Linked DNA regions of Oryzias latipes. The protein of the gene in region 2 interacts with the protein of the main gene of each other region in a biochemical or structural test. Links are inferred from orthologs where the notes say so. Each region holds a gene or a part of one and is shown on either strand. Other genes may lie near its edges.

Region 1 (4,070 bases), on a different chromosome or scaffold from region 2:
ACCGTGTAGTTAAAAGTGCAACATGACATCTTCTTTTTCTTTCAGCTTTTCCCTTAAGGATTGAAACAGCAAATCAGCTTCCGCCATCTAATCCTGTCTTCTGCATCCTTTACTCCAACACCAGGTACCTTCATGTCTGTGTTCAGTGCATCCATAAAACTCCTCTTTGGTCTTCCTCTAGTCTCGTGCCCTAGACCTCTTGCCTTGCAGCTCTAGACTCAGCATCCTTCTACCAATATATTCCGACTCTCTCCCCCACATGTCCAAAAACGGGCTTGGGACTTGTACATGAGACCCTGGCTTGGGTCTCCTCACAGCTACATTATATGACATTAAAAATATGGATTTGGATGTTAAAATTCGATTTTGTGATGATAAATTCTTAAAAATCATACTAAAAATTTCAACTCAGTTGGTTAAATGCCGTACTAGCACACGGGAAATCAGGGATTGATTCTCATGGGGTTCAATGAGCTAGATCTTCTGTTGGTCCTTGAGCAAGACCTTTCAAGCTACTGCCTAACAATGTAGCCACAAGGGATTCAGGTCTGAGTCTCCATGTGCCTGTCCCCAGCCCGGATAAAATGCAGGGTTGCATCAGGAAGGGGATCCGGAGTAAAAATCTCTACCAAACTGTTTGAATTGGTGAAAGCTGATTCACTTTGGCAACCCCTGACGGGATAGTAAAGGTGAAGAACATACAGTGATAAAACAGATGAAAAATGGTCAGCAAAAACATAAAACTCTTCTATGTTCATTTTAAATATACCTAGTGTATCATTCATTTATCTTCTAATCCGTTTTGTCCCTTTTGAGGTCACAGGGCTGCTGGAGTCTATCCCGACTTGCGGGCGAGGACAGTGGACACCCCGGACAGGTCGCCAGTGTTTCGCAGGGCCACAATCACACATCCATGCAGACTCACATTCACACCTATGGACAATTTAGTGTAACCAATTAACCTATGAAGCATGTTTTTGGATGGTGGGAAGAAGCCAAAGTACCCAGGTCCCCCATTGATGTTCAGTTTCACTGAGCACCCTTACCTAGAGTATCTTTAACTGAATATATTTGATGTTAAATCTTAATCGAAACTTATTTTATTCAAAGTGTTTGTCGTAGTAAATGGAATGAAAATGTATCAAAGTGAAAACTTTTTGAAGGCCCAAAATGCAAAATTTTGTCGCTTCATTTGCAGAGCATTCTCTCGCCAGTAGATGGCGCCACCACCGTTCATTCTCAGTGTGCGAGCGCTCCTCGGCACGCTCCTGCTTCCAGGTGCTGCAGTTGAGCCCTTCCGCTCTCCGTAGAGGAATGTGGAGACTTCATTACGTCAGCGGTTGCCCCGCAGCGACAGCGGCGCAGTCTCGGAGGTGATTGTTGTCCTCCTCGGGGGTATCTTCAAACAGAAATTAGTCAGTGCGGTCTTCCTGCCGCGTCCTGAGCCTGGAGTTTGAGAGTCTAGAGCGGGCGGATGAAAGCTTGAGGCGGCACATGACAGCTCCTCCTTCCCTCATTATGAGGACTCAGTAGAAGCTGGAACACGACGACGGAGTAGATGGATGAGCTAGAAAGTAAGATTTTATGTCACGTTAACGTAAGGTTATGAATACCGTCGGGAAGCATCCTGCATGAAGCGAACGGTTGTTCGTTTTTAATATGGTCCTCGCTTTGTTTCAGCCTTTTGTCTCTTTTTTTTTTCTTTTGTCTTTGCAGGTTTCTGTGCGGGCTGTAGAGGCAAAATCCAGGACTCGTTTCACACGAAGGTCCTCCAGGAAACCTGGCACAACGCCTGCTTCCAGTGAGTGGTCTCCGGTTCTGCTTCCAAGCGTTCCTCTGTTAATGAGCACAGCTTTGTTCGAGTGGTGACCGGGAGGTTTTGGCTTTTAGAAGGATGCCTGGAAGCAGGTTTTCTCGCTTCTTCCTCGTAACGTTTGGTTTATTGTCTGCTTTGTGTCGTTTTGTGGCTTTTTCAAATTTCAGTCGAACTTATTTAATTTAAATGTCGTTTAAACACTTTCAGTCTCTGTGCCACGTGAAGCTAAAATCACCTTGAGATGTTCCAAACCTGCTCTCGCGCTGCGGACACGTGACCGCGCAATTGACAGATTGACTAATTATTAATTAACTGAGCTGGATCTGCCAGCAAATGCCCATCTTCATTCATGAATCCAAACCGTCTTTTGGAGAAAAATAAATAAATAACCACTTTTCAATTTTTTAAAATGTTGATGTCGTTTTTCTTTTATATTTTTGCTTAAAATATTTATAAGTTTCAAAAATGAAAGATTAATTTTTACTTTTATTGAACGTTTATTGCATTATCGATCGAGATATATCTTTTAAGTTAACCATAACCATGGCTTCTAAACAGGTTTGAATGAAATTGTCAACATTTGCATTATAAATATATCAAAAAATCAAAGTGCTTTTTATTTAATCTGCACACTTCTCACTGGCAATGGTAAATGTTTTTTGTGTCTAAAAAACGGGCTTGTTTCACACTAATCAAGTAGAAATTTGAAAGATCTTAAGAATTTTTCCTGTCTGTTCAAGACACTGATAAAAAAAACGACTTGTTAATATGAAGTATAGTTTCATTTTTTTTTTACATTTCTGGTTGTAGTGTTTCTTTGGATTTTTTTGTTTTTGGTCAAGAAAAACTTCTACTTTGGCTCAACGCCTGTTGAAGAACACTGACGTACACTACAAGAAAATATGCCTATTTTTATTGAATGAAACCAATAAAAATGTAGCTTAAAGACTGACTCCAATGAAAATTGTGTCATGATAAAGGACATTTAGAAAGAAAAAGATGCTTAAAATTGCTGCTCACCTGGATAAGCCTAGAGAATCAGTCAGGAGCAGACGAAAAAAAGCAGTTGGAAAAAAGCCTGTACTTGTTAAAATCTCCAATCAGCAGATCACAAACTCCCGGCTCCGCTCCATTCTGATGCATCCATTTCCAGACAAATGGATCCAAGTACGTCTTTTTTTTTCCTAGGCTGAGCTGGCATCTGGATAAAAACTTTACAGCTGGATAGCTCCAATGTTGCTCGCTGTTTTTGTTGCACTGGTAATATTAGATTGGGGCTGTAAGCTAACGGGAGATGATGGTAAATGAAGGCAGGCTCACTCCATGCCAACGGCTCCTTCCCTTCAATTTCTGGAGAAACTATGTTCTAGTAAACAGGTTTTTTGATTTTGACTACAAATGTTAATGTTTTTAGAGGGGGAACTGACAAAACATGACCTTAAACGAGTTGATAAAACAAAAGAAAAATAAGTGTAATCGTTGGTGAATAAACTGTGTAAAAAAAAAATTTGTAAATGCTTAGCTAAATATGAAGTGGACATAAATGACTGGGATTAAACCTTTTCATTGTGTAGAAGCTAAAAACATATATCTTCCTGAGCTTTAAGCCATCGTCTTTATCCTTTTCCATTAATTTCCTGACATTTTCTTTATTCTCCTCTGCAGAGGTTTTCATTTAAAGCCTAATGGAAATGAGATGTTTGTCTTCCTCAGGTTTGACTCCAAAGTTTACAGATAATGGCCGGTGCGATAAACAGACTCTTATCTAGAAGCACACTCTCTGCACAACTATAATCCCTCAAACAACCCGCCTAAAACGTGTTCTAACTGCTCTCATACCCTTTTGTGTTCCTGCTCCTCATTGTCCACATGCTGCCACTCTACCCTGTGTACCTCTACCTTGTGTAACATTCTTGGGAGTTGAGCTCACTCCTGTTCCAATAAACCTGGTGGTGCTGCCCTGAGCCATAGGTAACACCACACTCAACTTCACTGTTTTCTGCATTCCTAGACGCCGATTCATATCACCCAATCTCTGTCTCAGACACTTTTGGCACAAAAGTCCAGGCTTTGTTTTTTGTTTTTTAACAATGGGGCTTCTTCCTTTTTCTTATCAGCCTGCTTTGTGCTTAATTATCCTCCCATGAGTGAGAAAATTGAAGTGGAAGTTGTTGTTTTTTACTTTTTTAACTTAAATCTTGGTTTTTAACCTAAATTTTCGGCTCAAGGAAAGTTTGTTTTTTCTAGACTTTTA
Region 2 (3,926 bases):
CATAACACAGATTTTCAATTTTAGTAAATTAAGGGCTTTTTTGTTGTTACATTTTTATTTTCTACCATCCCTGCTGCTTTAGAAGAATATCAGTCAAAACGTTTATTGTCCATTTAAGATTTTTAAATTCCTGCACATCACTGACGCTCAGAATGGTTTCAGTCAGGCTGCACCTTTTGCCTGGACAGCTGTTTATCCTTCCAGGCCAAATGGCCAAAGCAGATCTTTTAACGCAGTTACTTACTGATTCTGATATTGTGCCAACAACATTAGCATGTATATCCTTAAAGTAAAAAAATGTAACTAACTAAATAAATAATAGAATAGAATAAATCTTTGACCACATAAAGGGGAAATTATCTTGTTACAACAACTATTAAAAACAGAAGATGGATAATAACACTAACTACACTTGAAAGAAATGATGAAAAATAAGAAATAACAATTTTAGTAATAACAATATTATTAAGAGCAATATTATTATTATATATGATAATAATAAAGTTGACTGCAGTGGTACTGTCTTTAATGGTACATCTACCGTACTAATATTGTGAAATTTAAAAAGGAATTTCTTCAGAAAACAATTTTGGTCATGTACTCCTTAAAATAAATTGAAACCAAGATTAAATCAAACCATGATTTTAGTTTTGATCGTTCCAAAGGGGCCACTTTTTTTATTTTATTTAAATAACTGCCTATAAAGGTGGCCAAACAGTTTTATTTTATGTGTTTATTTATGCCATAATATGCTTCTAAGGGTATACATAGTTATCTATACAGGACGAAAGTAGAATATTGACATAAATTCTAAGCATCAATATGATTTACCATTAAATTTGGCATAATTGGACAAAGTAAATAAGATTACATTATTGATATGACTTGAAAACAAAAGGAACAGATTATGATCTGATTTTCAGAATGCATAAACAGGGCTATTGGAATCAAAATGTTTTAAATCTCAATAACCTTGATAGTCATGCTTAACTCTACCCTATCTTTATTATTGTACAAACTTTTGTAGTTTTCTGTCAAAACTAATCAGGAAATAGGTCTAAAATCAGGAGCACGCGGGCGCTCTGGCTCCCTGAGACATCGACGTGTTTCCTCCGTTCAATCTTTGAACGCGCCTCGGAGCGGCACATGCGCAGTACTTGACATTTTGAAGTAGCTTCTCCGGAGTGTTTGAACAGGAAGGCGGACATGTTGGTCAGGCTGTATGAGAAATTCGGTCACAGTCTGCGATTGTATTCCGAAAAAACAACATCCAGCCAAGTTGGATCGTAGTTCTACCCCGCGGAGGAGTTCCGGCAGCCGGACGGGAACTATTCGACGGGCCTTGACAGACACCGGGGCGAAGCGGAAGGGCTGCCGTTCAACGTTCAGCGACTCCTCGTTTTAAACTGTTCGAAATTTGGAAGAAGCAGAAGTTTTTTTCTCCACCACTTCTACTTTTGAGCTGTCAGAATCATTCAGTCGTTTCCTCCAAACTAGGCCTGCGAAACATGGAAACGGGCCCGGACTAGCCAACTTTCAAACATTAAAAAAAAAAAAAAACTTTTCGGGAAGATTTTGCACGAACGTGTTATTTGTCTTTTGTTTCGATGCAGCAGCGTTTTAAGCCCTTATCCTCAGTGGCATCCTAATCTGTCGCCGCAATTATCTTTGCACGGAAGTTGTTTGCCACTCACGGACGGGAAAACATCTTCCGACTTCGACAATCATGTGGCGTGTCCAGTGCCCCGTTAACGTCTCGATTTTTTGTGGAAATTTCCGGAGGAGGATGCATTTTCTCTGAAGCGCGGTGGAAAAGTTTGCGCGAAGAAAGGGACGTTTGGCCATCTAGCTAGCGCCGCGGCTAACTGCTAGCCATTCCACCGCCTCGCCAGGGAGCTCTTTTTTTGTTTTTAACTCAACACGGGGGACTAAGTTTGGCAGGAAAATGTCCTCCGAGATAAACATGGAGGGTCGGTTTGAAAAAATCGATGCCATGTTGAAGGACCCAAAGTCGGAAATAAACACGGATTGTCTTCTGGTAAGTAAAGTCTGTGTAGCTTGTGAGCTAGCCAGCTAGCTAACAGAGCGCAGTGTGCGGTTCAGGGTCAGCCTACTCCTCAGTCGGAGCAGAGCTCTGTCTTTCTGTCTGTCTTTGAGACCAGCGGTTTGTCGGCGCTCGAACCCCCGACACTGACAGGTCGATTAAGTTCACACACTTCGTCTGCCGCCGACACACATGCGCACCAGAATACAATAAACGTTGAATGAGGAGGACATCACATTCATCTGTCTGTGTGCCTTTTAGCTGCTGTGACTCATGTTTTCTAAACCACCGGCCCTCTAAATGATGAAGCTTTTGACTCAGAGCTAAAACAGAGAATTAATGAAAAAATAGGACAAACTTGTCACTTATTTCCAGCTGTTTATGTGACAGGGATGTTGAATTGCTTAGGGATTGGCCACATTTAATAAATGACTTCACTTTTAGACAGTTAAAAACTGTAGATAGTTTTACATGCTGTTATCTTAGTATGCATTTATTAATTCTTTTCCTGTTTCTCTTTCTTTATTATAGTCTCTTCTGCCATTTTTTTCCCCGCTTAACTCCTTCTACAATTTTTCAGCTATTTTAACCATACAACTGTTAAAATGTTCAGCTCTTTCAGCTTTTTCCAGCTGTGACTTTTGCTCCTTCAAATCCCTGAACTTTTCAAGATATTCCAGGATTTCCAGGATTTTTGCCTCCATTGAAATACATGGGGAATCCTTGGTGCAGAAGCTCGCTGGTTCGATACCCGGCGCTGGCATTTTTCACAAAAATATCTGTTCTGTTATTGTGCTGTTTTCACTTTATTTATGGTCAACGTTGACCATTTCTGTATTTTATATTTTTTATGTGCCAATTATTACCCTTTAAGTTTAATTTTCATTCAGCAATAGAGCATTCAACCCTGTATTTCCTTCTGGAAATGCAGCTCCTTCTAGTTTTTATCGGTTTTATCTATATGATTAATCTGTTTCTACTCCTTAGATGTTATATATGTTTTTATCTTTGATAACCAGTGGAGTTATTTTATTTTAGTGTTGACCATCTCTGCATCTCTTAAGAAATTTGGTTTAAGTTTTGGTGAATGGATGTTCAAAAAAGGGGGTCTTTTCACCCTGGGTCTGTATCTTTCTATTGATTTGTTTCCCTATTTTTTCCATGTATGATCAAAATCCTTCGATTTCTGATTATAGTCAACACTGGAAAAAGAGCTATGGCTGCTCTATCCGTAAGCCAGAATACCTTTAGATGAGCAAATCTTTAACTCTTGTGAATGTTTTTGTACTATATGGTGTTTGGATACTTCAAAGTGTTTTTTTCCCCCTTATTATATGCATTTTTTTTCTAACCTTTAAATAGGTCGGCCTGTTTTGTAGGCTTTCTATAACCTGCAGGCATCAGGTACATTTTTGCTGTTCTACAGTCTAATAGGTGTCAACCCCTGAATTGATCTGACTGATGATAAAGAGAGTCTTGGGAACTGACTCACTGTGAAGTGAATGCCAAGGGAATGTTGTTGAGTCAAGGGTTTGTTGATAGGAGGAGTATTTCAGCTTTAGCGACAGTGACAGCGAGTGTTTTCACAGGGATTTGGCTCCCAGTTACTCATGGAAACTGTTGTGATCATATGCTCGGTGTTATTAGTGCAAATATCTTGTTGGTGATATGTTGACATTTGCTGAAATTAGCCAGGGCCTGACACGGTCACACCTGTTGTTTGTGGTTAAGTTGCAACAGATTTAATGAATTGGCTGCTCTACTTGATTTCATTTCAGTAAATATTTTAGGGTCTCCGTACTGCAGGTCTGTAATTTTTAACAAATTACAATATGGTGGTTGTGTAGGATCCATGAATTATTAGATTAAAAACAAAAGAGCA

Evidence for each region.
Region 1: of the proteins of rock1 (region 2) and limk2, one has a biochemical effect on the other in vitro, tested with the Homo sapiens proteins (2 studies listed by BioGRID). The link is inferred for Oryzias latipes from reciprocal best matches to the Homo sapiens genes ROCK1 and LIMK2.

The regions. Positions count from the first base shown.
Region 1 is NC_019876.2:4,300,570-4,304,639, forward strand, and holds the start of limk2 (LIM domain kinase 2), read left to right. Parts: upstream 1-1,270; 5' UTR 1,271-1,558; coding exon 1,559-1,574; intron 1,575-1,716; coding exon 1,717-1,801; intron 1,802-4,070. UniProt on the Homo sapiens protein: Serine/threonine-protein kinase that plays an essential role in the regulation of actin filament dynamics. Acts downstream of several Rho family GTPase signal transduction pathways.
Region 2 is NC_019875.2:28,418,944-28,422,869, reverse strand, and holds the start of rock1 (rho-associated protein kinase 1), read left to right. Parts: upstream 1-1,126; 5' UTR 1,127-1,945; coding exon 1,946-2,038; intron 2,039-3,926. UniProt on the Homo sapiens protein: Protein kinase which is a key regulator of the actin cytoskeleton and cell polarity.